Lepisosteus oculatus: one gene and its partners. The protein of the gene in region 1 interacts with the protein of each later gene in a biochemical or structural test. Links are inferred from orthologs where the notes say so. Each region holds a gene or a part of one and is shown in the gene's direction. Other genes may lie near its edges.

Region 1 (7,540 bases):
GCTGTCCTGCAGTCTCCCTTGGCTTCTGGGATGCTAGCGATGGCCAGACCTTTGTTCTTCCAAGTCCTGCTGAAGCCAGGCCTCCTGCGCTGAGAAGCAGCTCTGACAGCTGCCCGCCCAGGGTTTTGTTCGCTAACGTCGCTGTTATTCTGGTCTTTCCCCCCAGGAGCTGACGATGTAAGAGTCCCGAGAGAGAGCGAGAGGAGGCGACAGGCTGCGATGGATCGAGATCTTGCTGTTCGATTACTGAATGGCATTTGTACAATTTTTACCAGGGAGTTTAATAAAGTTATGAACTTGAGGTGGAACCATTCTTTTTTTGCCCTGATTTTTTCTGGTTTCAGGGTTATTTTTCTATAACTGGTATTCTAGAGTGCTGGTATTTATTGGCAATAAAGTGTTTTCCATTGCTCTAAAGTGCCCGGAAGTAGGTTTTCTCCTTTCTTACAAGTTAAAAAGGTGGAATATAGAAACCATCTCTAGAAACATGAAATTTGTTTCCCAAAATCCAGTTTGCAGCCACTTTTTAGCCACAGATGCCTTCGAGAGACAAAGGTGGAGTGAAAAACAGCTGCCTGCCGTCTCCTCTGAAGGACGGAGCTCAAGGATGATCGCAAACTTGTTGGGGAGCTGGGAGGAGTCCCACAGCAGAGCGCAGGAGGCTTGAACTGCCTCTTGGTCGAATCCAAACCAGCCCCCTGCAGCTCCATGAGGTGGCCCCCCCGACGACACCACAATAAAAACCGCCGCATAAGTTAATTTGTGCTGCTGAAAGGAGCATGTGTGCTGCTTTCGTTGCCGAGATACAACGCCTTCTTTTCTACGGTGTGCGGTCATTCAGCCCCTACAACAGTGCAGGAGAGCTGAAACAATCCTTTTAGGGCCGCGTTTGTGCTGCTGAAAGTAACTTTCCTGCTGTTTTCATTCTGTGTAAGCACGCGACTGTCCACATAAGGAAGTGTACAGCTGGTAGCACTGTAATAGATCATGTAGTTTTAGGATATCAACACCTGCAGTTTGCTATCTCTCATTCTGTCTGGGGTGGGTGTATATTTCACGTTTGAATAACGGTAGTCTCTGAGCATTTGTGTGATGAGTAAGAGTTTAGGGAGAGATGTAATATTAAAATAAGTCTTGCCGTTTTATTCTTAAAATGAGAACGATTGTGTTTTCTTAAAGCTTTAGCTACGTATTTGAGGTTAGGAAGTGCAACTTACTGTATTAAAATGACCATCATTGTACTATTTTATAATGAGCAAACAATTAAACATGGAAACAGAGCAGGAAACTGCATTATACAGTATGTTTTGTTGAGAGCACTATGTACACGGTTGACCTTGGTAGTTCATAACCAATCTGCAAAACAAGGTTAGTATCATGGATACAGACTTCAGTAATGTTTGAAAATATTTTAACAAATTTTGAAGAGAATATCTCCCCAAGTTGCTCGCCAGCTTTTCTTTGGTTTCACCTCTGCAAAATCAAATGGCTCCCTAGTGACTTGAAGCTAAAGTTAATGTCCTGCTTGTTTGGTCAGTCTGCACTTCCTGTTGCATGACTTGGGTAACCATGTGTGGTTACCCTAGAGCTCGCCCGGCCACGCTGTGTTCTTCAAGGGGTGACACCCAGGCACTGATGGCTGCAATCCAGCTCCAGGGATCAGCCAGAGCGTCATGGCTTCACTGTGCCCTACACCAGCTACTCACAGGGTAGCCTTCCATCTTCAGTGTTTCAGCAGCCCTGAACATCACACCCACACAACTCTTGTTGGCCACACCCATTTATCCAGCCACGCCTCCATCCAAAGACTAATACTCCTGTTCTGAGCCAGTGACCTGCTCAGCCATAGGTGCCACACCTGGAAAACTGCACATTGTTTTCAATAAAAGGGTAGTTACTCTGTCATTCCCTGTAATAGGTGAATCTAAAGAATCGGCTATTGCTTTCTCCTCTGCTCAAAGTGCAGCAGCAGCATAAATAGCCTCATCCTTGCTGTTGCTGCCTGGATGTTATCACACCTCCGCCTTGCCAAGCAAGTTCTCAGAGTCTTGGCTTCAGACGGGAAAGCTCAAGCCCCGGTGCTGTCAGGCAGGGGAAGCTGAATAGGCCATTACTGGAGCAGAGTCTTCAGGTTCCAAGCTGCCAGCCTGCACTGCTTTCACAAATATCATGAGTGTGAATGTGGATGGCATGGTGGCACCGTGGGTAGCAATACTGCCTTACTGCGCAGCGCGCAGCGGCCCTGAGTTCGGCTTTGGACCGGGGGTGCTGTCTGTCTGGTCTGGTTTCCTCCCACAGTCCGAGTACAGGCTGGTGGGTTCATTAGCGTCTGTGAAAACTGACCCGGCTGTGAGTGTGTGAATGTGTCTGTGTGCCCTGTGATGGACTGGTGTCCCATCCAGGGTGTATCCCACCTCGTGCCTGTTGCTTGCCGGGATGAGCTCCGTCTCTGCCGTGAGGAAAGCGGAAGATTGATAGATGGATGAACGTGCTTCCTCGGAAGTGCAAAATCAGAGAGGGGATCTTTTTACTTGGATGCAGTTTTGAAGAATGTCGGGTGAGCACCGGCCGTCGGGAAACCTCTTGCAAATGACATTGCAGGAGTCTGCTCTCCTGCGGTTCTGGGTTTTCTGTTGGGCAGACACAGGCGAAAGGCTCTCCACTGTGCCATCCATCTCCAAATCCTTCGTTTTTAAATAAGGCTCAAGATTCGAATTTCATTTGCCCTATACAACAAGTGTAGTGGAATGCTTACTCGTTCAGCTGCACCCAGTAACAATAGAGAGAAAAAAAATATCCGCACAAATGACAAACAGACATGGACAATAAATTTTGACAATAGACATTATAATACAGCCAAGACAGGACATAGTGCAAACAGTGCAGTGCCTTAAAGTGAAGGTGCTAATGTGTGCAGGTGCTAATTTGAGCTGTTTAAGATGTGTCCTATTTAAAATATGCATACGTGTATAAAATGCATGGCGTTTCAATTTTAGAATATTTAAAATATGCATATAAACTTAGTTACTTATGAATCAGGCTTAGAAAATCACAATTGCATTTTTGTTTGAAAATCATGTTTTAAGAACCTGGCAGAAGACAGTGCGAGTCTCACGGCCTAGACTGATACAAGAAGGTGAGTAATTGATGTTGTCCTGGTGTCCGGGTCAAATTTCCCCCCTCGGCCCTTACCGTGGCCTCCAAATTTTCCCCATGTACGATTGGCTTGCACTTGCCCTGCGATGGACTGCGATGGACTGCCGTCCTGTCCAGGGCGTACCCTGCCTTGCGCTCGTTGCTTGCCGGGTAGGCTCCGGCTTCCCGCGACACCGTTTGGTATAAAGCGGGTTGGCAAACGACATGACTAAATCCTACAGACGTTTCCACAGGTAGTCCACTAGGCGGCGATGTTGACCTGTTTTTCCGGACTACAGAATCGCCGTGTAGCCGTTGGCGTGATTGATTATATGATCGCTCTTCCTTTCTACGAGGTAGAACAATTTGACCTCATTTGACAGTTTTTGGAAACTGATCACCGTTGAAAAGAAAATCTCTTTCGACCGCTGTATGTTCTAGGCTAATATGAGTCTACAGAAGTGGGTTACGAAAACAAACATATAGATTATTTTACATCAAAAAGGATGTTGCTGCTTTTGAACTCGTTTTGAGACGTAAGGAAATGCGCCGCATCGACAGCGCAAATATTTTACAGATATACAAATATGTTGAACAGAGAAGTCACCAGGGGGACCTGCTTCAAGCATTCAAACTCTTTAAAGGCTCTGACAGAGTCAACCCAGCGACCTTCCTCAGAATCAACAGTGCAACTCAAACCAGAGGACACAAGTCCTGCTAAAACCGAGAGCAGAAGGCTCGTCTCTGTGCGAAGAGTGGTGGGAGCGTGGAGCAAGCTAAGCAGCCATGTTGCTGAAGCCAATTCCCTGGCTTCTTCCAAGACAGGACTGGGTGAGAATCCCAGATTAATTGCATGCTAATAACCAAACGGTAAACGTTCTTTATGGTCAAATATTAAAATATATATTAAAACCGACCTTTTTTCTAGGGACTGTGTATGATTGCCCTGTAGTTTATAGTGTATGCTATTGTTTTTTTTTCTTTTACCCTTTATTGTATTTTAATTAGTTTTTTTCATCACTATATACAGCGCCCTTTGGTTTGGAAAGGCTCTTTATTTAAACAGTTATTATTATTATTATTATTATTATTATTATTATTATTATTATTATTATTATTATTATACGCTTTATAGTCTTTGGTAAGTTAAAAACTACAGTTCCCAGAAAACCCAGCTCTAAACAACAGTCGCCATGGTAATACAAATTAAAACGAGATATTTGGTATGAGATATTCACCATCTCTTAATTGAGTAACACGTTTTGGATGCGAATCGGAACCAAACTGGCGATCCCAGGACAGGGAATGTTTTAGATGAACTTTGCCCTCTCCGTTTCCATGGTGCCCAGGCGGCCAGGGGCGGGAGACCGCACGAGACGAGATGGGCCGGTGGAAGCTCTAGAAACGTCTAGGCGCGCGGCTGCTGCGTCATTGCGCGAGAACGAGGAGGAGAGACACGCGAGGAGAAGGGAGATCAGCTCGGAGCTTCGGCGGGTTTTTATTTTTAATCGCTCGTTTTTTTACTTCGTTCAGAGTAAATACACCTTTCTGTCAGATAACGAGAAACAAACAGCAGAGCAGCACTCCGGAGAGTAGGAAACATCTGAATAAGATAACCAAGATGTAAGTCGATGGGGGTTGGAATGGACTGAGGGGAGAAAGGGGCGAATCACTTACGGCGGTTTTTATTTTTTTAATTCTTTTCAGGGGTGCCTAGAAAAATTTGGACCAGAGTAAGGTTCCCTGTTCCACACACACACACTCACGTTACCCAGTCGTCTCTCAGGGGCAGCGGGCAAGGCAGAGAGCAGGCGAGCGCGGTATAGGCCGCGCTTCACGTTGAGCGCCGGGGTGTCTCTCGGGCGCTTGAAAACGTAGCTTTTGAAAAGGTGCGACTGGTCGTGTGCCCGCCTGCAACCTATTTAGGGGGCGTGGAGGTTGTGTGAAAGGGTATTTTGGAGAAATACTGGGCTCATTTGTTCGATATTGTCCGGATCTGTAGCAGGTAGCGGGAGGCTCGACCTCCGCGCTGTAGGAGCATGTCTGCTCGCTGGGGAGAAAGGAGAGGGGGGAATACAGACACGCTCAGCGGGACGGGATGCAAACGGAGGTGGTCGCTAACAGCTTCTTTTGGAGGACGTATTCTGCATTTATTTAATTATGCTTGTGGCTTGATGGCTCGGGGGCCGTGCATTTCCTATCAAATTAAGGTTTTTCTTGCGCTGGGGTAGCAACGCAACGAACTGCACCCGCCCCTCGTGTGGCTGGGGGTGAGATACTTTTAGGTCAGCTCCGATGTTGGGGTAATCGCGCTGTAATCGCCCCAGATCATCAGGGTAGATCTTTCTGGGGGGGTATATGCCTCCCAAGTCCCGCAACGTGCCGTGGTGTTTTTACACGAAAGTGAAAGTGCCGCGATGCACGCCGGGGATAATGAATGAGAAGATGTCTGCCTGCCGAGCGGGGTTTTGTGTGCCGATATTTATTTTCCGTTGCGATTTCATAGAATGAAATCTCTGCTAGTCTCATTGTTTGCGTCTGTGTGCTCTGAATATTTGGTTGTATTTACATTAAACGTACTTGTTCGATTGTGTAGTAATTTACCAGTTGCGCCTGAATGGCTTAAAAAAAATAAAGATAAAACAGGACGGTTTCGACCTTGAGAACCGCTAAAAAATAGCCTGGCGTGAACATGGTTGTGCTGATGGAGTACCCAGCAGCTGGGACTGAAGTCTTCGGGCTGCACAGTCAGTTCATGGCCACCGCCTGACAAATGCGTCTCGCTTGTTGATGGCGGCCCGGTCCGGCCCGGTCCACGTCGTCTGCCTTGGGGGGAGGGGGGGGGGGTCACATGACGAGCCGGGGTGTGCGCTGCCCGGCCCCTTTGAACCCGAGCTCAGGGGTAATAGCAGGTAAATATGAGCTGTGGGTGAGGTGAGCGTCCGTCGCCTGTAACTACAGAACTACAGCTTGCCATGATGACCTGCTGTTGCTCCTGTGCTGCAGCCCATCCGTGACACAGCTCTTCTCCCAGCTCACTCGAGGCCGCACCAGCCCTCCACGGGGGCGTCGTCCAGACATGGGCACGGTGGGCTGGCCGCTATCAAAAGTCAGGAAAACTTTTAAGTGGCATAGGAGACGTCCAAGCAGGGAGCTGCGGCAGCAGGCATAGGCTGCAAAGGAACAGGTAAAGGTTTATTACAGGCTGAGAGGAGAAGGAAAGATACGCGGTGGTTCCCGGCTGAGCACCCGAAGAAGGCTCCACAGCTGAAACGTTGTCTCTTTTCTTTTCCTTTCAGCATAGAATAAACTTTACCTGTTCCTTGAAGTAGTGTAGTGTTTTTGCTGGTATTCAATACTTTGATTGTAAGTTCACTTGAGCAGGTAGTGGGTGAGTGCGTTTGCCTGACTGTGGAAGTTGGTAGGCTGTTTTTAGGCTACCTGTTGTTGGGTTAAGAAGGTGCGATGTCCTGCAGTGAACTCCCCGGGGAAAGAGCGGAGCTCCTTCCCGGAGGAGAGGAGTCCTTGGAAACGTTGGAAGAGGTGGTTCCGGTGTGCTGTCGAAAGTCTTGCAGAGCTTGAAGAAGTGTGGCCACATAGTAATGAGCACGGAAGGGGGTCGAGGAGAAGTGAACTGGGTGGAGTTCTGGTGTTTTATCCAGCCGTGTGTTTTCAGCCTGCACTGGATTTGCACATCTGGGCTGTGGCTTCTTGAAAGCTTTTCTGTCGGATTAACTTTACATTGAGCTCTAATTTTGAAAGCCCTGGTTCCTGGTTCACAATTGAATATCACTCACGCACTCTGATCTTGCAAAGGTAAACCTATCTGCCTTCAGAGCATCCATTTTCTAACTGCTTTGTCCAATTCAGGGAGCTGGATCCTGTTCTGGCAAGTAATGGGCACAAGGCAGAGTACTGCCTAGATGGGATACCAATCCGTCACACACACTCACACCAGGGTCAGTTTTCCCAGAAGCCAATTAACCTACCACACAGGGAGCACCCTAGTTTCAGAAGTGAACGCATGCCCCCAGGGTTGTGAGGTTGTGAGGCAGGAGTGCAAACCACCGTGCTGCCCCATTACAGAGCGGTTTGAGCCATTTCAGTTTTCACTTGCTGTAAGGTGGTTGTGCGTAAGCTGGGATCTGGAACAGCACATCGACTTGAAACCCTGCTTTGCAAATGTTTTGCTTACACATGGTGTGTGAAGTCATTTTCTTTTATAACCTCTGCTGTTGTGTTCAAGCCCACCAGCTGCTAGAGTGTAAGCAGTGTTGTCTTCTCCCGTTGCTTTATGCCACTCGTGGATGAGTGCAAACCACTAATTACGTGGCCTCCTGCCTGTCAGAATGAACTCCTCAATCCTCTGCCCCACACACGCATCCACACACGTGGTTGGCCATAA
Region 2 (7,473 bases), on another chromosome or scaffold:
AACTAATCTCCTCTTCCTCTGCACACTTAAAACAGCTTTAGAATTCAGAAAAGCCAGAAAAAAAATATTTTAATAAAATAGAACCTATTTAATAGAGACCAAGCATAAAGCACCTTTTAATGTCGAATGGAATACGACAAGTACAAATTTCACATTCTTTCTTCAGGCAATGAAATATTTATCCTACTTGCTGTATCCTTTGTGTATTGGAGGAGCTGTTTACTCTTTGATCTATGTGAAATATAAAAGGTAAGGGGATGCATCTTAATTTTTTTGTAATTCCATAATTTATTTTTGATATTTTTAATCTTATGGTTTTTATTTTGTTTTTACAGTTGGTACTCATGGCTGATCAACAGTCTTGTCAATGGTAAGTTCTGTTCAGCATCATGCCTAAGTCAGTCACTGTGATTAATTAAGGTATTTAACATTTATACTACTTTTCTTTGTATTTTGGCAGGGGTTTATGCATTTGGATTCCTGTTCATGCTACCTCAACTTTTTGTAAATTATAAGGTTAGTATTTACAAAAACCCTTTAGTATTCCATTTATAAGCAGTACGTTTTCCTTGCTGAAAAATTACAGACCTAGATTGGGACGAAACACTGAAAACAAGAAAGACTTATGTGTGTCTCATTCGTTTTCGCTGTGTAACGTTAAGTGTATTTAAGCAAGATGTTAGTAGTTTCATTTGTGTTTCATTAGTCTTGCTTTCAGTTGAATTTCACTTTGCATACCTTGAGGTGTCCTCCTGCTGGAATTTGTCATTTTTATTTCTTCTGCTTAAACATCTTTTTACATAAATGTGAGAAAGTTCCAAAAATGTGCTTAATTCCAATTTAAAAGGAATTGTGATAAAAACTTTGGTTTGTGACTTTAAAGTCTATGTTTAACTTTCTTTCTGTTTTCAGTTAAAATCGGTGGCACATTTGCCATGGAAGGCATTCATGTACAAAGTGAGTTAATTTTATAGCTGGTAGAATTTTAAAACTGTTTTTGATGATAAATATTCTCTTAAGAATCTTGGTAGTTGGTTAAGAATCTTATTTTCACATGAACACTTAAGTTATCTGTAAAAGGTAAAAATGAGTAAAAGTTAGAAGTTATAAAGGTGTTTATTTTCAGTTTTTAAAAGAAAATCTTGTAAATGCTCCCCACAAAGTTGAAATTTTGAATTGTTATTTGCGTTATTTTACTGTTATAACTATCATACTAACATGGGAGGGATGAGGACTGTGCTGTTTCTTCTGAAATGTCATGTTGATGAAGGTCAGATTGTGCCTACAGGACAGTTAGCATCAGTCGAAGGAGTGACGTAGTTCTCACTGACAATACTGCAATTACTGTTACTGAACGGCAAGCACAGGTCCAGAAAATTGTAATGGCGTTCAATAAAGAAATCCAAACACTAAACTGATAGAAGGGATCAGTTTAATGGCAATGAAAATGGGAAAGAGAATGTGCTCAGTCTTCTGCTGATGGTAATTACAGGACACCTCCTACCTTTCTGTTTTTCCAGGCATTCAACACCTTCATTGACGATGTGTTTGCTTTCATTATTACCATGCCAACATCCCACCGGCTTGCCTGCTTCAGAGACGATGTGGTATTCCTTATCTATCTTTATCAAAGATGGTAAGCTATCCAGAAAGTGTTCACTAAGATATTTTAGTTTTTAGTTCTTAAAATGAAATGTAAAGGTTTAGCATTTTGTGACCTTACAAAAACAATTCATAGTTACATTAAAACTGTTTTAATCTAGGTATTAAACAGTACACCATGTGTTGATTACCCTTTAACAGTCACACATTGAATTATAGTTTAGAGAAATTGGTTACGATTATTTTTTCAAAAATGAATGTAAAAATGTCCTGAATATATACAAACCACCTGGTTGAGGAGACAGATAAATGTTTTCTCGAGATACTGTCCTGATGGAGAATGCAGTAACAGAATATGTTGTTGTGTACCTTTTACATTATTTATTTATGTTATATATTTATTTATGTTATTTATTTTTGTTTTTTGCAGGCTTTACCCTGTGGATAAAAGTCGAATCAATGAATACGGTGTCTCTTATGATGAAAAACCTAAAGGAAAGCCACATAAAGACTAAACATTCTCTGAAAATTGGGTTGAACTCCCTGGCCTTGATGCCTCACATGTATATGCAATGGTAGAACGTGTTTCTAAATCAAAGTGCAGGTTAACTACTGCAGTGTTGCTGACATTTCCAGTAATGTGCCTGTTGGGAAGGATGGGGCTGCATCCCATAATGCACGTGTTTCTCTAACTAGTGGCCTACCTGTAACTCAAGAGATGCTATCGATAGCCAAAGCCTATAGAGAAGCATGAAGTTAATCCTGCCTGCTCATCTCCCCCTAGCATGAGGTGCATTAGGCAAGCTTCTATAGACCTTTCAGGGATATTAAATTCACTCGATCTGGAAAATCATAAAGGTTAATATACAGCAGCAGGTATTGCACAAAAAAGAAACATATTCTACTCATTCTTTACCTTTTCACTTCACATAGTATTTGAAATTAATTGGTGCCAAAACCTTCGTAAAGAATATTTTTGTTTGGGTGGGAAAAATTAAAGGTCAAATTGCTACCCAATTGAAATGCTTCAGGAATAAATACTTTATTTTCCATTATTTTATTGTGTACAAAACAGGAAAACTGTTTCAAGACCAAAAAAAAAACCACAACAATTGCTACTTATTTATGTCAGTAAAACAATCAAGGCAACATGTTTGTTTACCATTCTGGACATGAAGTTAGATGGAGATGCATTTTAACATTTAACAGTGTTTCAGATCTCTGTTCTAGAATATTGTATTTTGGAAGGCTGGTAAGGGAACAATGTTTTTTTCTTTTGGGTAGCAATTGTTTATCTTTATAGGATCTTTTTTCATTTTTCATTTTAAATTGATCTTAATAATACATTTTTTAAGTTCTCACCATTACCAATAGTTAATTACCACAATGTTGTAACAGTACTTATTTCACCATGTGGGCTACTATTAAAAAAGATCCAATGACGTGAATGATAATTGATGTCTGATCATGTCTGGGAACAGATTGTGCTGCACTGGACCTGACTTGAATAATTTCAAGATGTATCTATGATTCATATCAATTTTTTGCTTGTCATTTTTTCTCTATTGTCCTTTTCATTAAAAAAATGAAATTTGCTTTAAATATGGCAGGGGGTTGTTTTTAATTTATCATGTTTTACAGTGTTTTGGAATTGCTATTGAACTGCATCTTCAGTAATATTGCTGAGTACAAGTTCCCAACTCCCACAATCTTATGAATAAAAACATCCCTCTTCTTTTTAGTCTTATTTGGAAATTTTAAAGGCTTCCTATTCGTTTCCACTAGTGTCTTGTGTTTTCTGTTTCATTATTTATCTTAAATAGGTTCATGGTTGGACTCACTAAAAGATTGAATTCATTTAAGGTTAGCTTAGAACATGAATCTGAAACACAGTTCTTGGAGGGCCTAGTGTCCTTTTGTTCCAACTTGAGCGATAAATTACAAATAACATCTATTTTCATTGCTATAGATGGAATATTTAAGGTCTTTTACAGCAGGTTTTACAGTAGTAATTTTGTTAAAGGTACAGTTACTTCACAAACACATTAAAGCCTTTTATAAGTATTACTAAGTATTACAATTTGTAGATACTGTAAATAAACCAACTATGAAACACCTCAGGTGGAACCATAACTAGAAAGCACCAGGCCTTCCAGTCTGAGTCTCAAATCCCTGGGTTAGGACATTAAACTAAGGAATATCGTTCGGCCACAGTGAATTCAGATGTATAGTATACACGGTAAATTAAAATTAAAGCAAGAATTTTTTTCAAATACTTGTAGTATTGACAGGAAAACAGCACAGAAATCACTCAAACGTGAAATTAACAGATAAAAATAAACTTTTTAAGCACCAAAGCATTTTTTCAAGTTCTTACTGTATGTCTTATTGGTGAACTCTTTCCATAAATGATTATTGTACATGAGTACCGCAGTTTTATAAATCAAAAAGACGTTATTGTCCATAATCACTGAATTCTAGGGATGACTATTAATTTTGAATGTCAATTATCAGAAGAGCTGAATAAAAAGGTGCATTTTTTATGTCAATGCATTCGTCTGAATTGTTTTTAATGCACAAGATTTCTATTTACACATTCGGGTGCATCATTATTAAGCATAAATTCTACAGTGTAGCAGCAATTTCCCCAAACTGCTGTTCCATATATTCGGAATCAGGTGAGTATACAATAAAATCAGAACGAAATCTATTTAATCGGTCTACCAAAACGTGCGCCGCTTTTGTAAGTGGTTATACGGCAGATGTCAATGTCGGTGTCTGCAGGCCGGTTCCTATGTTGACCAATTACAAGTGACTATAGAATTGCGAGGGGAAAAGATCCTGTTTTGATTGGGTTGAAAAAGAAGACAGGTATTTCTGAACTGCGGCCTCCGGAGAAGTTAGAGATTTCGGAAGGAGCAGCTTGACCAGATTTGAAGAAGCGGTGATGGATTAAGTGGATCGGTAGAGAGCAGCTGTCGATTGCAGTGTTTTGGTGCGTGGTACTACGATGTCTAGGGAGAATATCAAGCTTTTTGACCCAGTGTTGCGTATCCTAAGATCTGTGTATTCATCTGTGCTGACATTGGAGGAATACATCGCCGGCATTCGTTTCAAAGAGGACAACAGACAGCCTCTGGTGTTAAGCACTGACAGCGCGAAATACAAAAAATTCATTACAAGCATCATTGTTTGCACTTCCGCCGACAGCAAGGCTTTGGCACAGCCCACCAGTTATGAACAGGTATTGATTGAATGAATTCTTGCGTATCCTTCAAATAAGCAGCTGCTCAATTAATGGCTTTAAGTAACTATGTACGGTATGTAAGAATTTGTTACCTTATTTAGTAGTATTTTATACATATATATAGCATGCAAAGGCTGTGCAATAAATACATGATGAGAGAAAACTACATGTACGTTTAAAAAAGGAAAATCACGTTTCAAACCTGTATTTGAATTTCTAAAAATGCACACAAAAAAGACTAGTGTTATTACTGGTCCTGCACTCATTGTGGATTAATTTCGAGAATTAGAAAAGAAATCAACAATCAGGTACAGCAGGTTAGTTCTCCATAGCATTATAATAAATGTATTATTTGAAGTGTCGGAGTCCTTGGGTTTAAATGGCACGAAGATTATTTCAGTTCTGTGTTACAAAATTAACCTCACACGATAAATCATTAAGATGTGTTATCATAATATCGTTTTCTTACCAATATTGATACAATGAAACACTATTCTGGAGGGCTCAAAACAGTGTCAGTGGAAGTGCTTTTAAAGGCTTTGGAAAACAAGCGTATACTTGTGTAGGAAGGCTAGAGTCGAAACCATTTTTAATTAGTATATTATTATATATAAAATAATCGATAGCAATTGTTTAATTTTTCTGCATTTTATTTTTCCAATCCTTTTATCAGCTTTGTACACTGAAAGAACTGGTCTCCATCATTCTGAAGAAGATCATGCAGAAGAAAAAAAGAAATGTTCTGGCACATGGACTGAAGGGCGTCGGTGAAAACTGTGCTTCCGTTTTTTCTCAACAAAGTAACCACTGCACCTCTGCTATCAGCAGCGGTCCGCTGTGGGATCTCCTACTCCAAAGGATTGGAACTGCTGTTATGATGCATCTCTTGGAGTCGTGTGCTCTCTTCACAACAGTAGCCCCTTCTTGTCTTTACCAGGTTGCTGGGATCCCTGTATACGATCACTTCATCACTGGGGATAATTACTCCTCATTTAAATGTGTGAGGCTTAGGTCACTGCACAACCGATTTAATGTGCTCTTGCAGCTGGCAAAATCTAAAGTAAATTTCTATAGAAACCGTAGGAAGTCGCAGAAGAGGATGAGGAAACACCAGAAAAAGCGAGGTGCCCCAGGTCCCCGCCAAAACATCAGCAAAACTGACAGTGAGGGGCCTCCAACCAAGAAGGCCAAGAAAGAGCCAGGGTGCAATACTATAGAGGAGAGAAAGCAAAAGGCAAAAAAAGCCCCTGTTTCAGCTGTATTTTTCAAGGCCCAAAGCATGTTGTATTCAAGCTTCAAGTCTTCTGTCCTGAGCAAACAACCGAAAGTACAGTCCAGGGCTGATCCTGTGAAGCAGATAAACTCTAATGCAGAAGATCTTGTGAAGGACATATTTTTATGCAGAAAGGGATTTGATGGCAGGAAAAAAATCCCCAAGCGTTTCAAAAGCATGCTTGGCACATTTAGCCAGTTGCTTAAAAATCATAGAAAATGTCCATTTCACCTTTTCTTAGAAAGGACTTGCTCAGAAGAACCCACAGGTCAAAACACAGTGGCAAAGGCAACTGGAAGTTTGGACTCAAAAGAGCCCAGTGATTTCCAAGGTCTTCTTTCAAAAGAAACCAAACCCACACAGGTTTATATGTTCATAAGGGAGTGCTTAAAATACATTATTCCATTTCAGCTGTGGGGTTCACAACACAATTTCAATAGATTTTTAATAAACGTTAAAAAATTAATTTCCATGGGGAAGTTTGACAGACTGTCTCTTCAGGAAGTCCTTTGGAAGATGAGAGTGCAGGACTGTGACTGGCTTAAGCTAAATAAATCTGGTAAGAAACTTTACAGTTTTCATGGCAACATTTTCTTTACTAAAATCTCCAAAAGAAATGTTAAAATGTTACTCTGGCAGTTTTATTTGTCCATTAGTATTATAGTAAAAAGAGCTACCATATAAGACTTAGGCAATACAAATACAAAAAAGTAATACTGTTGCTAATGACTGTAGTTATGAGTGAGAACCTAAAGGTATTTAACATTTTGATTAGTTCAGCACTTGTGTTACTGGAAGACTAATATGCAACTGTAATGTATGCTGAGCCTTAAAAAACATATCACTATTTACGTTCTTAGGAAACTAAAGTATTCTAATTTTGGATATCGATTAAATGTTTTTGTTGTCATTTTGATGAATTGATCCGTCATGACTGACAGCAAAACACTTGAGTGAATTTTAACATCAATGAATAACAATAACCTTCCTGCCTTAGCTCCCTGTCCTGCGACTGAGCACCGATACCGTGAGAAGATCCTGGCAAGTTTTTTAACTTGGGTTTTGGGCACCTTGGTTATTGTGCTAGTAAGGACATCGTTCTATGTCACTGAAAGCTCCTGGCAAAAAAATATGCTTATGTTCTTTAAAAAGAAGATCTGGAGAAGACTGTGGGACATGGCTATAAGGTACAGTTTTTTTTTTTTCCATTATCACAGATATTGCTTGGCTTACTGCTTTCATTTCAGATGCTCTTTAATGTGAAAGATTTATGGATATGATGATTTATTCAAATCCAGAAAATGCAAAAGCCGTATACTGTTTTCAGTTATTTGGAGTTGCGGAAATTGAC
Region 3 (7,494 bases), about 55 Mb from region 1:
CTGAACCTTTTATTGTTTTCTACTTTAAAGTCATTTTCATATATTTCATATATGTAAGCAGACTTCTGAAAGAACTAGTTTATTCTTTTAGCTTGGCCAGTAGCTACACCATTGTGAAACCTGACATCACATTTTGAATGACACTGGGATTAGAGTTGCCTACAAACTATTTTGTACGCTTTTCAAAAACTTTACAAACAAAACATATCCTTTCACTCTGTGACACACAAAATCTTGTGGCACACTTAAAAAGAATGGTCAGAAATCCCTAATGATTTCTGACTGAACAGCCAGGATTAAAGCCGATTCCCTGGGAACTTTCAAGAAAGCAGCCGAAGGAGATCCTTGGATCAGTAAGCTACTAGAAACCACTGCCTGACTGGGACTGAATGGGATAAATGACTTCCTCTCATTTGTAACCCAACTGGATGCAAGTGTCTTTGATTTCACCAAAGAATTACGAAGAGCAGTACCGAACATTGCTGACGAGGGAGGCGAGAAATATTTGTTCTTCGTGAGACAGGTGCTTCTGAGGCCTGGGGACAAATGTGTTGTCCTCCGCTACACTGAAGGCAACGTTCTTCCCAGCTTTGGAAGATTTGTACAGGCGGAAATTTCTGTTCTTTGTGTACACTCCTAACAGGGAAGGAGGACAGCAATAGATGAGTAACTCTTCAAAGTGAGGGGTATGCAATTCATAAGGCAGTCACAGTCTGTAAACTGATAGATACTTCAGAGCGCCGCGTGTAAGACCCAGAAAAAGCCGTCGGTGTTTGCAAACGGAAGCCGAACAATGTTATTCATACCGACATCAACAAAGAGCTGATCCTGTCCATCTCTGTCTTTCACGAAGAGAAACAGCAGGCCCCCAGCCTGAGGAGATGGGGAGGTTGGACCCTCCCCGGTTCTCTGTCTCTTGGGATATGGATTCCTCAGCCTCTCAGCCTCCGGTTCCTGCCCAGGTCCAAAAGACGGAAGAGGGGATTGGCTGCTTGCAGGCTGTCCATTGCTCTCCAGGTGGGTTTCTGTCACCAGACGGTGTCTTCTCCTTCTCAGCTCCTCCAGCGCTGGCTTTAACACCTTGTGGACAAAATGGCCTTCAAGTGGAAAATGAGACCAGTAAGAACGTAATATCACACCGAGAAACGTCACACTGCTTTATAATTCAAAAACTAAAAAAAAAAAAAAAAAGGAGTTAAGTGATCTAAAGACCTAATGAGACAGGCAGACACACGACACCAGAGAATTAGCAGAATAATGGTGTAAGCTGGGCTTGTCTTGTTTTTTTAGAAGTTCACACAGCGCTACAATTCTTTACAGGTGTGACCCAAAACTTGAGGCGATTTTGCATTACATTTTCACAGAATTATAAGCCAAGTTAACAGGGTATTTGGTCATTAATTATCTGAGGCTGCAATACAAACAAATCACCAGAAATTATCTAAATACATACCAACGTGTATATTGTCTTTAAAAGCTGCATTCGGAACAAGGAATATTAGATGTCGACTGAACTTTTCTTCTGTGCTGGAATCCAAATTCAGAACATCATCCCTGGAGATTTTAATTCCATATTCCTCTTCCAATTTCAGACATACATACTAGGACACAAGATAAACCACAGATCAGTTTAAAATCAGTGCAAAGAAGGTCTTGTCTGGGACATGCTCACATCCAGGGTCCGGGAGCCCGCAGCCAAAGCCCTGGGGTGTCTTCTCTTGCCACTGCTGCTGCAGCTTCCCGCAAGGACTTCATCTCAATGGGGCTTTTTGACTTCACAAACATGCATGAAAATCAGGCACTCCTCATAGCTGCCAGAGTACCGTGGGCATCTTATTACCCTGTCTTCCTGTCTTTCCACACCATTTGCATACACTACAGCCCTAGTGAAGTGACTCTGCACAGCTCAGCGCAAGGGTTTCAGACCCTTCTCTCCTCGGTTAGAAACATAAGAGGATAATGAAACGCTGTAACTTTCGCTCACACACTCTGAATTAAGAAACCTTTTGTGAACTGGACCTGTAATACGTCTGTGCTGCTCCTACGCCGTGAAGACCGCTGGCTCCATACCTGAATAAAAAACGCCACCATCTGTTTTCCATCCCGACCTTCGTTCGAGGGCCTGTGGAACTCCAAATCGAAGTACAGCTTGCACACTGCACCTTCGGGGATGACCTCATAGCAGTGCATTAGAGACCGCCTGTAAGTCCTGGGGTGAAAACCAAAACACGCTGTGCTGGCAGCAGACCAATTTGTGCAAACAGCTCTGAGTGTGTAATGTGACATGAAAGCTTTTGAACAATAAGTTGTAGTCCCTTGAATTTATTTGCTATATATTCACACACTAGATACAGTACATGAAATAAAAGTAGGCCGCTTCACAAAATATTAGAACTTCGATCTACTGTATGTGGCTAACAAAGACTGCTCTTGAAAACAGTGTAGAGAATTTTTTTTACCAGCATCATGACTGTTTTAAGGGAATAATAATTAGGCATCTTTGTTTTTTCGGGACTTGATCATATTGCCCTCAAAGTTGTATTCATATCTGAGCAAGGTCCAGATCGTCACAGGTGTACAATTAGGCGTCTGGTTATACGACTACTTCTCCGCCATCAGTGAAACAAAGAGCGCAGGACACCAGCGGGAAGTACGCGGAAGGACATCCAGAACTCGGAGAAGGAGCCGCCAGTTTACACAGAGGGATGGGGCAGTCGGCAACACGCCAGCCCGTCGCGCTGATGAAGTCGCCACCCTGGCTTCATTCCCCGCCGTGCCTGGAGCAGTTATCCCACAGCAGCTACGCGGGCTCCCCAGACCGGACGCCCCCCCCCTCTCCCGTCACGGGACTCACCTGTAGTAGTGCCAGAGCTCGGCATACGTGGTCACCAGGTAGATCCTCTGCCCGGCCTCGGTGGGGCCGTTCTCCAGCGCGAACACGTGGACACCCTTCGGGGGGCAGAAGCACACGGAAGCTTCACGCCCTGTTTCACAGCAGATCGCGCTCCGACTCCCCCCCCCAGACGAAACGGCCCCGCCGACCCCGGCCCCTCACCTCCGCGCGGCTCTTGGCGAAAGCGAAGGCCAGGCCCTGGCGGGGGAAAACCCGCCACAGAGTAGACGGCTGCCAGGGCCTGGACAGCCTGGGCTTGTACGGCGAGGACAGGGGCCAGTGCTGGTACCACTCGGCCCGGCACGCCACCCTCCTCACCCTTTCGCCCCACTCCTGCCTGATCATCCCTCACCAGCAGGGCGGCGCCGGGGAGACACCCTGGAGAGCGGCCGAGAACAGGAGACGATCAGCTCCCGCGCAGCACATCAACCTGGGTGATAAACTCCTCCATCTGCCCTCTTCCCCAGGTCATGGGGATCCCCTCCACCCCCAGCAGTGTGCAGCCCCACCTGGATGAGGCGCCAGTCCGCTCCCCACACCCCAGCTCTCAGTGGGGAGGAGAGCAGAGTGAGGGAGCCAGTTCAGAGAGGGAGGTTATTAGGAGGCCATGAGGAGTAAACGCCAATGGGAAATTTGACAAGGACGCCGGGTAACTAATACTGGTCATAGAAATATTTTTTTTTCCCCACAGGGAGGAGAAAAAAAATGAATGATTTCCACCACTCCCATAGTATATAAACACAAACACTTCACAGATAGTTACACTGACCTGGATTAACAGCACAGGTCACCTTGACCTGGAAGAAAACGGCAAGACAGATGAAACGCAGGCGTGCCTCCTTTTACGTTTTGAAGATGTTTTGAAGATGGACGACAGCTCACAGTTAGGCTGGGTCGCACTGTAAACTCCTGTCCGCCTATTGAGCTCTGAAGAGGCATTATTTAAAAAACGGAAGCCTTACAATTCTTGCTTGAAGAATAAATAATGTCCAATTAAGCAATTCAAACAAGTTGGCTAAATACACTGTCAAATGCAAAGGGACCGATACAAGAATATAAAACACCCCGAAAAGACGACACCCGACTTTAAGGTTTATCTAGACCTCATCATAAGAAGATATCAAGCGTCTGACGATCATTTTTCCTTTACATTTATATCAATTATATCATTTTATATATAAATATTAGGTCTCCTCGTCACGTCTCGTATGTGCGTTCACAGAAAGGTATAGTAAATACACACATACTGTACTTACCGAGGGCCCAAGTTTTTTTTTTAATTTCGGCTATTATTATTAATAATAATAATAACACACTGCAAACTCTCTCTGGGTAACAAATTAACCCACAGACGCTGCCTGCAATGTTTGTGTCTCCTTTTCCTTAAAGTTGCCGCCCTTTTGCACAGTTTCCGTTTCGTGGCCCGGCGGCTGGGAGATGTAGTTTTTTTTTTTAATTCGTTTTTATATGTCGGTTTTTTTAAAAAATTTTACGTAAAAAAAAACGCGAAGGGTGGAGCTCAATACCACCACATCGTGGCTCTTAAAACTACACAAAAGAAACAAAAACTCGACGGTGCTTGTAGGGCGGTCCTTCTCCTTTGCGGTCTTTTGTTGTTGTATGTGTGTGTGTGTTAGTTTCACGGCCCGTTTCAAAAAGCGGGGAGGTGTTGTGAGCCATATAAAAAAAAAAACAGATATTCAAACTGCGACCCAACCTTTGAAACGGGGAAAAAAAAAGAAAGTGAACCCGCAGAAGATTTAAGTTTTTGACAAGAGCAGTGTGGAGCAGAGAGCCGCAAACGTAAGTCTTTCTTTATTTTGCTTATTACTAGCTGGAAATTGTGGTTCGTATTTTTATTATTTGTTTTTATTATTATTATTAACAACCACCCCGTGTCAGTTTAAGTTATATTCATTCCCTCGTCGTCCCGAGTTTTGATGTAAAACCATATGCACTTGTGATACAAGTTTCTTTCGTTACCGGAAAAAAAAAAGGTCTTCGGAAAAGTGATCGATTATTTTGTTTCATACCAAAACACGAGTTCGAGTCGCCTGGATGTGGACGGTGAAAATATTCAACTGTTGTTTACAAACTTGTCAAGATATAGACGGAGTCTCTGCCATGAAGCTGTTATTATATCGGCAGACTTGGGCTTGAAATTGCACAGGTATTTCATGTCGAGAATGAGCTGCTAACAGCTGGTATTGACTTGTTTGGTCAGTGTCATTCAGTGGACGTTTGGTCTTTCCTAACCGGAGCATTTAAAGGGTATTTCGGTCCTTTTTTTAAAAAAAAAAAATCTCCCTCACGTTCAAGATTGCAATATTTGATTTGTATTAAAGAATATACAGACCACAGACAAACAGCCGGACGCCTCTTGCTTTAATTGCACATCTGTCAAAACGAGAAAAAAATAAACTGGCTTACCAAGTAGAAAGATAAAGCCGTGATTTTGAATTATTTGACGTTTCCACTGTGTTTTGATGTGGCTGTTTTAAAGCACTTGATTCACTCGTGGGTGGGTACAATGTTTCCTGTAAGTTTTAGGTTTTCCTCGAACATATCGCTCACTTCCTGAACTTGTTTTTTTTTAAATAATAATTCCTCCATCGAAGGGGATATCTTGCTCGTGTTCAAAAACACTGTGTTCATCAGGGGACAAACTTTGGAAATAAAAAGAATTCTTCAGATTTGCAAGTAACGTTTTGTTCTGGCAGGATGTTTAAACTTGAAGTGAGCTTTTAGAGGAGTCAGTGTTTGAATAGGAAGATGACTGTTTTGCACTACCTTGCTGCTGACTAAGCTATGCCACGGCTGGTGTGTCAAGTAGGTTTTAATTCCAGCACAGCTTTTCACAGAGAAAATATCAGTATATTATTAGAATGATTTGGCTAGATCGGATCAATCAATCAAGCTGATCAGAGTTCTTCAGGTGCTTCTACACATACTATATAAACCCTCCCGAGTCCAGGCTGGACATCCCTGCTGTAGGCACTCAAATTTCAATGAGTCACGGTGCGATGTAATTCTACCTCAAGGGCAATACCTACCTCTGCCTATTAAACTAATGTCTAATGCTTTTGCTTAATTGTCAAGATGCCCAAATAATTCAAACAAAAGCAAACATAAACGAATAAATGTGCATCCTTCTGTTGAATTCTAAGAATTGTCTTCAAAATCCTTTCCTGGTGGAAATGTACGTTTTCCTTCTTGTCCCACACAAATATAAAAATTCCCTTGGATTTTAACATCTTTTTTTAGAAAAGCAGGATTTGACATCACAAAGTTGTAATTATATTATTTCTTTTTCGTTTAACTTTGAGTCTAATTTTTTTTTCTCTGGGTTTTTTTTTAAAGTTTTGAGGGAAATACCAATTTGTTGTCATGTGTGAAATGACGAGGCCATGGAAAACGTTTGTGTGTGCCCCGGTTCCTCATGAATTTCTGTTGGAACCCCTCTGGGACATTACAGTATCATCCTTCCTTAATTGTGATATTTTGCTGGAAAACGGGGCTTCTTTTCCCCCAGCTCAACCCGACCATGAACAGGCCCAGTAATGTGTGACAGTAAACCAGGCCATAATGCCTACATTGCATCTAGCATTATACTGTACAGTTAAGGAACAAGTAATAGGTTTATTCCATGCTGAAAAGAGAAGAAAGAAAACACAACGTTTCAGCTGTGGAGCCCTCTCTTGGTGTGAGCCTTCTTCCTTACACCTGAAGAAGGCTCCACGGCCGAAACGTTGTGTTCTCTTTCTTCTTTTTTTTCAGCATGGAATAAACCTATTACTTGTTCCTTTGCAGCCTACGCATGCTGACGCAGCTGCCCACCTGAACTACTATACAGTTATACTGTTCATAAATTCATCCTTTTTTGTCTTAAAGCCAAAACAGTTAGGATCCCTGCAGTAGTACACAAACTAATGGGGGGGGTGATATTTCTTCGTATTTCATCAGGCTGTGTAAATTTTTAAAACTCCTGGAGGGTGGGTGGAGGGGGTTCTTTTGTCCGCCGGCCGGCGTGTGTGAGGTCATCGCCTCGCGGGCTCGAGGGAGTTACGGGCTCCAGCCTGCTCTTGACAGGCGATGACGTCATCGAGCCCGGCCCTTGGCAGCGCGGGCTGCTATTGGCCGAGCAGGCGGTTAGCAACACAGAGCAGGCAGGCAGGCAGGCAGGCAGGCAGGCAGGCAGGCAGGCAGGCAGGCAGGCGTATGTGTATGTGTATGTGTATGTGTATGTGTATGCATGCATGCGTGTGTGTGTCTGTACAGTATGTATGTGTGTCTGTGTGTGAGCTGCCACTGGCGAAACCAGTGACTGAGCGGAGCCCCAGGTGAGCTTTGTGGTCCGCTTGTTTCCCTCGGTCTAGGGACGATGTCTGAGGCGACGGAACCCGTTCGAGGCGCCGGAGGAGATGCTGTGGACGCCAAGCCGGCCAGTGCCCCCCAGTAAGACTTTCTTCCGTCCAGTCTGCAAAGCCGTTGCGCTGCGTGAAACACCGGGTGCCCTTTGAACAGTACTGTCACGACTCTTGTCACGTGTGAAGAGACCCTTATACGCGAGTTATTTATGTAGTTCGGTGTTCTTTGAAGAG
Region 4 (7,830 bases), on another chromosome or scaffold:
GTGTGAGTTATAAATCAGTCCTGGTTCAATTACTGTAGATAGGTTTGGCTGTGAGTCTTTCTTTTTCATTATTTGTATTTTATGCACACCTAATTTGGAATCAACAATTCTGTTTTTTCAAAACTGGCCTTCCTTCAACCCATCATTTTCTAACCACACCTTATCTAGTACAAGGTCACGGGGGAGCTTACTCCAAGTAAGCAATGGGGGCAAGACAGGACACACCCTAGACAGGAGGCTAGTCCATCTCATGGCACACAGAGATACAAACTTACCTGCTTGTCTTTGTGTTGTGAGAGAAAACCCGGCAGAAATGGGGACAACATACTGTACTAACTCCATGAAGATAGTGCCCCAGGAACTGAAGCCAGCGCCAGAGCATTGCAAGGCAGCAGTACTGCCCAAAACTGGACTTTTCTAGAGTAATTTATGTAATTTATTTACCACTTCAGAGACAATTAGAAATCAACAGAATATAGTAATTTAATATATATGTGACTTTTTTCATTTTAAAATTAGACTTCTTAGTTTACTTCTGCTTAAATATTCAACTACAATTGAGGGGTTATTACCTGACTTGCAAGATGGCTGATTTTACGAGCATGTTCCACCTCCCTGGACTTCACATCCCAGTGAAAAACTGACTTATACTTCTCTCCTTCTTCTCGGTATTTGAGCTAAAGAAAATTTACCATTTCATTTATCACATCAGCAGTTACAGGAAGTATCAAAGTTTTGAAAAGATATCAAAAGAATTGGTAATTTATAGCAAAGTTCAATTGGATTGATAATTTTAAGGCATATCGAGTAACAGACCAAAATATAAACTTTTCTAACTTAAACAGTTTTCTGAATCTATACTGAACATTGAGGACTTCTAGGGTGATCCAAGTAATGAATGTTTACTGTTCCAGACATCTGTGGAGCTTCATTTATTTTTCAATGCAATAACCTATTGACAATTTTTTAATTTACACTGAACTGTGGACAAAGCATCTTCCACGGCACTACTGACCTTTTTATACTTTTAATACACTACATAAAACTGAATCATTCCTTTACAATTTTAGAAAACCCTAAAACAAATGAGCTCTCACCTGCGAACTGTGAATGAGTGCAGTGTATGAAATGTAAACATATGTACCAGAGGAAGTGTAAATACTGCACCCTCAAAAACAGATCCATTCTAAGGGGATATTTGATATCCTGTCCTTTTGCATGCTGACTGTCACAATCACATTTTATTAACGGCCTAGGAATTCATACACACACTGTATAGGACTTTCCCCAAACCTGGTCTGATTGTAGTTCAGGAACAGAAGGTATAAAAACATCCTGTTCCAGAAAGGTATACAGCAGATTTGGCAATTGAATCCTCTCATTATTTTTTTAAGATCACTTTGAGCATATACAATTTCTTTTATTAGGAATTTGTCTTTTCACATAACCCAGCTTGCTCTCCATGAGACACACAGACAGGGAGAGAAGCTTGGGGTCAGCCATTTACAGTATACGTCGCCCCTGGAGCAGTTGGGTTTAAGGGCCTTGATCAGGGGCCCAACGGAGTAGGATTTCTCTGCCGGATGCAGGATACGAACCGGCAACCGTCCAGCCACAGGTGCAGATACTTAGCCACAGAGCCACTGCTTTAGTGTGCTTTTGGTATACAGTACAGTACCAATTTGACTGATTTTACTGTCAAAGAAGTGTCTCTAAAAACAACGATTGTATAGAAGTTAGCACACACTCGATAGTGTAGACTGAAAGCAGGGCTGTGATTGAGAGGAACAGGAGGTGTCTGGAGAAAGCAGGAGGTGAGCAGCTTACCCTGGATATAATTTTAACTGGTAAACTCATAAACTGGGAGGGAGAGTGAGGTGTCATGTCGCAGTCATGACACAAAAATAGAATAAATAGGAACACAACTCATTCCAGACCTGAAGTCTCATAGAACATAGGACTCATCCTGAACTTCATATGAACTATGAAAGCTTGTACACAAAGAATACCTATTTTAATAATTTTCATGATCTATTTTTAGTACTTTACTATGCCATCTTACTTTGCATTATATTATCTTGTTGTGTACTGTAATTGGCTCCTAATTTTACTGTATTACTACATTCTACCAGTTTTAATTAATATAACATCATCAGCACAACTCTTGAAGCTATTTTTAGGCTAGCCACTCACCTACAGTACATTTGGAAACAGTGACATTCTCGACATCCTGTTTTTTTTAAATGCCTGTATTGAAATTCTGACTGCACCTTTGAAGTATCGGACAAATACATCTTTTTATCTGCTTATAGAACATTCCTGATAAAGGTTAAATCATAACTGTGGAGAAAATTACCCATAGCACCTTCTTTTATTTTTGTTTTCAATATCACTCACCTCACTGACTGCTTCAGATTGCTTCTTTGCATTTAAGTTGATGGGTGTCTCATATACACTAGTGAAATTGTTGTTCTTGGGGTTGTGCCTGTAGACATCATCAGATTTTACAGATGTACAGATGAATTTACACATATACAGATGAAATAGTCATATACTACTGGTGACACATATACTTTAAACATGGAGTTATTTAGTAATGAGCTATGATTGTTCTGAAGGAGATACTGTGTTATTTTGTATAAAATAAGTATATGCATGGAAGATACACAACGATAACATTGCCATAGTCATTCACAATGTTAAAACATTACTATTATTGCTAATAGATATCTACATGTCAAGATAAAAGAATATAAGGGGATTTTGTAATTGTCCGTTTTACTGTCTATTGAGGAAATAATACAAAAGCTTTGCTTTTTTCAAAATCAGCATACAGTAACATACATTTCAATAAAAGTAGTAATAATGCAAATAAATACACACATGCTTTAAGTACTCACACTTGGCAGTAGGGCTTTTTCTGATGGCTCACAAAATTATTTGTAGTTAGGATCATCTTACATATTTCGCAGTGAAAGCAGGCTTTATGCCAGGTCTATATAAGTCAAACAGGAAAGCAAAGCAAAATTTTCAGTACTCTAGATGGCATTGAACTTATCAGCAGCACTCTAATTTTTATTTTGAAAATATTACATACTTTTTTAAGATTGGATGTTGGTAAGTATTAAACTATATATTGGATCCAGTACTCACTTGTGTTTATGGCTTTCAGTATACATCCCAACACAACTTATAACAACCTTGCAAACATCAGAAGATGGCTACTGAATAGTTAGAGCAATAGTGGAAGGGAACGCATTCTGTAATTTGGCTGATGACAGATCCACAATACATTTACACAATGGTGCTATAAATTCCTGTTCTGTTCTTGTTAATTTAATTCAATATTTCTTGTGTTTGAACATTTTACTTCCCTCACAAGTCACAAGGGTTCGTTCACAAGTATCAAAACTGTACTGGAATTGATTCGTTATAAAAATCACTCTACAGTCACTATATATCCTTTGTCATATGAATATTAACCATATGAAATATAACCTTACCTTGTCAATGCAATTGATTTTCTCAGCTGGGTAAACAATATAGCCACACCTGGCACAAGGCTGGACATTCATGTTGAAAAAATATTGTATAAATAATTTTAAAAAATAAAATGAGTAGTGTACAGAAGTAGCAGGGAAACTCCGTGGACGCTTGTGTTATACTTAGCTCTCTAGAATGTGACAGACTGTCCCTTACTTTAATGTATCTAAGGTCCTCCCACTTCAGTTGGGACGACTGCTCACTGGCTGAGATGGCTAGGTGACCAGAGATGTAATATGTTGTTTTTGTACTGAATTGAGTCAGGAGGTAATTTTGGTGCCTGACCCAGATTGTCTCCCTCCTAAAATACATGAATGAACTCAGTAATAAGCTATGTTATAACAATATGCACATTACAAATATGACTTCTATGCACCTGATGCTGCAATAACTAAACTAGGTGTAACATATGTCAAGTTGTCTTTGTCTGGCTGACACTGAATTTTTTGTTCTTAAAGTCTTCAAAACCTTTGCTTTAAGCAAGTAGAAGCATTGCAATTTTGTACACTTCACCACATTTTCTTCTCACTGTTTCATTAAATGTTTAAAGTTTTTCTAAGCTTTTTGTTTCAGAGTTAATTGTTTTCACCATTTTGTGAACAGAATTCAGGAAATTCAGAAAACAGGAACAAATCTAATCGCCTTGTGTAGACTTTTTGGATGAATTTTGATAGTCCTTATCTGCGGAAACTTTTACACCAGAGAATAAACCCTCATACTATTGTCCTATGAGTCAGACTTTGAACTGGCATGTACAGTACTTAATCTATTTTTTAACAAATAACCTAAGAATGACAGTTGTATTATATTGAAAGGCCACATGGCTTTAATTTCATAAAGCAATTTTGAGACAGCCATTGTACCTCAGTATCTGCTGTAAGTCTGTCTTTTCAGTCACACCCCAAAACAATTGTTTTCTGTTCCTTTCTGAAATTAGTGTTAAGTGTGGTAGGCAAAGGTGAAATCCACTGAACATACTGTATACAGTATAATCAAATTGATGCACATTGCCTTTCAGCTACCGTATGAACCCCTTTTTAAATAGTCCTAATGTATAATAATTATCATGTTAGACTACCTATTTATTTTAGCTTACTGATCCAAACACTGAAAACAGAATGACTGAAAACATGCTAATAATTATACATTTCTTACACCATCTTTATGGTTGATGTTTTACATGAATGGTGCATGAACGTTTGAGTTAAATTCTCACGTCTTTCGTAATAGAAGGCAGGACCTTTAAATAAACCCGCTTCCTTATTGGGAAGCTGGTCGAAACTAAAAAATACTTTCATTACTTCCTGTTTGTTTCGTTGTAACTGCTCTATCAGTTAACTTACGCGAAAACGAAAGAGAAAACGCTCAATATAGACTGGAAGATTAAAGAACTGCAAAGAAAAAAGCAGCTGCAAAATTTAGAAAAAGTAAGTATGACAAACTACCATTTTGATTTTTTTTAAATCAAGTAACATTTTTACGTAGCTCTGCTCTTGTAGATTCATCTTAAAATGCTTTATTTTATAATACTAATGTTAACTAGACGAGACGAAAATCAGTGTGTCATTATGAATGAACATTAAAGACACGTGTAAGATATCACAATTAAAACATCTCAAATGTTTTCTTTTCTCCCACGAAGTAAACCTACAAAGTGTGTTTCGAAGTTGCTGTAGCATTTTAACAGATAGTTTGATCAGGACCGAAAATTCTGTTGTAAGTTAATTAAGATAAGAATAGGGATTGGGAAAAAATAGGGCCTTTATAACTTTAGTGTGAATAGCCCTTCTTTTAAGTACATTGAAGTACTAACATTTCTACATGTATGTAAATAATAACCAACTTCTTCAATTGTAAACACCTTAATGTTACATTACTGCCGCTTGTATTTAAGAAGCTACTGTCAATTTATACACCTGAACATTATGCTGAGCTAGACGTTGTCTTTGTACACGATTATATAGTATAATTAAAAGTTATTTCAAATAATTAAAGTGGAATACTAAATCTCATTTAGTATTATAGAACCATTATTGAGAGCATATATAGAGCAAATGAGATTGGAAAGGGAAACATTAAATTTTTTAAGCTGAAAAATCTATTTTCTATAACTGTTTGGTTAGGCAATACATCTGTCCATCCTAGAGGCAAATTGCAACGCATTGACTGCTGTGTAGAGGGAGTCCATCATTCATTCTGAATGTTTGAGGATAAAGCTCATCTCTCTTTCTGTAGGACCCATATCTGTTTCAAACTGCACTGATTCACATTTGTCTATTGCTTCTTCTGCTGGCTCTTCTCAATGTGGAGGATAAATTCGCTTCTGTCTCCTTTGACTGTGACGCTGTCTCAGCAAGGAAGCCCATCAGCTTGGCTACCAAACCTCCTTTTGTGCATTGCCCTATGTTCTTGATCATAGGGGAGGATGGGGACTTAGATAATCCTGCAGATCTTTATCGGCAGAGTTCCTGCTTCACCATCACAAACTGGGATTGTGCCCTCAACAATGCTGACAATGCATCCATCTGTCAGTCCTCACTGCCACTTGTTATTACGAAGTAGCAAGCCCCCTAGGTACCTGAACTCCTTCGCTAAGGACAGCTTCTTGCCTCTCACAAGAAAAGAGCAATCTCCTTTTTAATGGGAGAGGATGATGACCTCCAACTTTGAGATGCTGATCTGAGCTGCTTCACGCTCAGCAGTGAAATGTTCAGTCTTGTGTCGGAGATCACAGTCAGATAAGGCAAAGACAATATCTTCTGCAAACAGTGATGCTGCCTCCAAGCCTCTAGACTGGATACTTTTCATAGCGTGTCTGTGCCTTAATGTCCATTCATGCTTGGACATTAAGGCACAGACACTCATGGTTGGTTCCCATGTCCTCTTTGAACACGCATGTCTAGAAGGGGAACTGCAATCTCAATTTCTCAGACCAGTTATGAAATCTCAATAACAAAATGAATTGACAGTATCACAAAAAATGTCAAATTTTGGATTAAGAACAATATAGTGAACTTTGTTAAAGTACTGGATAGTCGCCATGTTGTTGCAAACCACTGGGCTCACCACGGACGAGAGCAAGAGTTTGCGAGAATTATTATGTAAAATCTGCCCTTCCTGCTCACTAGTCACTGACGAATGTAATGCGATGTATAAGCATATAAGTATAGGTTGAGCAGAAGACATTTCACTACAGAAAAGTTCTGTGATCTACTTACTTGTTAACACAGCATGCAGTTGATATGACGGAAATATGGTGCTGCGAATACCTCGAAATGTTGTTAATTTTGTGATTTTAATTAGAGGTTTTACATGTTACTGTGTACATTTTACTTTCAATGTGGTCTAAAATCCACTCATCAGTGCTGATTCTTTATCACACTGAAATAAAATAGTGTTGCAGTTTCCCTTTAATACAGAGAATACAGTTACAGCTCTTATTTGGAGAAAAGCAGGCCTGGGTAACAAGCAGAAGTGGCACTGTCACCTCATGCTCGCACAGCATCTACAACAAGCCATCTTGAGGAATGCTGCCATATACAGTATGAACAAGCTACATCTTAACAAGGATAGACCAGATTCCCATGTTCCGTGGCCAGGATGGGATCTGTATTGTTCGTTGTGAATTTGAGGTTTAACTAATGGATGGACTCTCCTTTCCTGCAGATATGCTTTGCACATGTTCAGTCCAAAGTGTGTACTGAACATATCTTCTGTTAGCTTAATTTCTTTAGAAATACAATACTGGCATCGTTATTTTTTATTAAGATCATAGGCTCAGTTTGCACACGGTTTCATTTTAGTTATGTGCCTGTTTATACGTTCCACTTAAATTTTTATGCAAGATGTTTCTTGCCACACAGATGGCAGACAAATCTGTTGTTCCTGAGGTAGAAGAGAGCATGGAGCCTTCAGGTGATGCAACGGATGCCAAACCAGACCGAAAAGGAAGATTTTTTCTATTTGGAAAGTAAGTGTTAAAAATCCTGTTTTAGGTGGGATGGCTTCCTAAAAGTGTGCATTTGCAGTTGTTTTCCTATCATAGCCCACATTGGGGCGGAGGGGTGGCTCTGTGGCTAAGGATCTGCCCCTGTGGCTGGAAGGTTGCCGGTTCATACAGTATCCCGCAGTATCCCGCAGCCGGCAGAGGAATCCTACTCCGTTGGGCTCCTGAGCAAGGCCCTTAACCCCAACTGCTTCAGGGGCGCCATACAATGGCAGACCCTGCGCTCTGACCCCAGGCTCTCTCCCTGTCTGTGTGTCTCATGGAGAGCAAGCTGGGGTATG

Evidence for each region.
Region 2: the proteins of prostaglandin E synthase 3 (region 1) and tert form a complex in vitro, tested with the Homo sapiens proteins (2 studies listed by BioGRID). The link is inferred for Lepisosteus oculatus from reciprocal best matches to the Homo sapiens genes PTGES3 and TERT.
Region 3: of the proteins of prostaglandin E synthase 3 (region 1) and caspase-3-like, one has a biochemical effect on the other in vitro, tested with the Homo sapiens proteins (2 studies listed by BioGRID and IntAct). The link is inferred for Lepisosteus oculatus from reciprocal best matches to the Homo sapiens genes PTGES3 and CASP3.
Region 4: of the proteins of prostaglandin E synthase 3 (region 1) and casp7, one has a biochemical effect on the other in vitro, tested with the Homo sapiens proteins (2 studies listed by BioGRID and IntAct). The link is inferred for Lepisosteus oculatus from reciprocal best matches to the Homo sapiens genes PTGES3 and CASP7.

Annotation. Positions count from the first base shown.
Region 1 is NC_090696.1:20,892,890-20,900,429, reverse strand, and holds the start of prostaglandin E synthase 3, read left to right. Parts: upstream 1-4,531; 5' UTR 4,532-4,756; coding exon 4,757-4,758; intron 4,759-7,540. Other genes in the region: naca (nascent polypeptide-associated complex subunit alpha), read left to right, coding at 167-181. UniProt on the Homo sapiens protein: Cytosolic prostaglandin synthase that catalyzes the oxidoreduction of prostaglandin endoperoxide H2 (PGH2) to prostaglandin E2 (PGE2).
Region 2 is NC_090705.1:36,252,407-36,259,879, reverse strand, and holds the start of tert (telomerase reverse transcriptase), read left to right. Parts: upstream 1-4,464; 5' UTR 4,465-4,612; coding exon 4,613-4,846; intron 4,847-5,522; coding exon 5,523-6,681; intron 6,682-7,119; coding exon 7,120-7,309; intron 7,310-7,473. Other genes in the region: lipid scramblase CLPTM1L, read left to right, coding at 167-249, 336-370, 461-516, 913-957, 1,521-1,636, 2,033-2,117. UniProt on the Homo sapiens protein: Telomerase is a ribonucleoprotein enzyme essential for the replication of chromosome termini in most eukaryotes. Active in progenitor and cancer cells. Inactive, or very low activity, in normal somatic cells.
Region 3 is NC_090696.1:75,474,792-75,482,285, reverse strand, and holds the start of caspase-3-like, read left to right. Parts: upstream 1-4,481; 5' UTR 4,482-4,696; intron 4,697-5,323; exon of another isoform or gene 5,324-5,605; intron 5,606-7,269; 5' UTR 7,270-7,274; coding exon 7,275-7,348; intron 7,349-7,494. Other genes in the region: primpol (DNA-directed primase/polymerase protein), read right to left, coding at 474-636, 807-1,097, 1,454-1,601, 2,020-2,209, 2,855-2,949, 3,056-3,238. UniProt on the Homo sapiens protein: Thiol protease that acts as a major effector caspase involved in the execution phase of apoptosis. Following cleavage and activation by initiator caspases (CASP8, CASP9 and/or CASP10), mediates execution of apoptosis by catalyzing cleavage of many proteins.
Region 4 is NC_090699.1:38,479,827-38,487,656, reverse strand, and holds the start of casp7 (caspase-7), read left to right. Parts: upstream 1-4,823; 5' UTR 4,824-4,970; intron 4,971-7,406; coding exon 7,407-7,513; intron 7,514-7,830. Other genes in the region: nrap (nebulin-related-anchoring protein), read right to left, coding at 573-677, 2,398-2,485, 2,901-2,995, 3,504-3,575. UniProt on the Homo sapiens protein: Thiol protease involved in different programmed cell death processes, such as apoptosis, pyroptosis or granzyme-mediated programmed cell death, by proteolytically cleaving target proteins.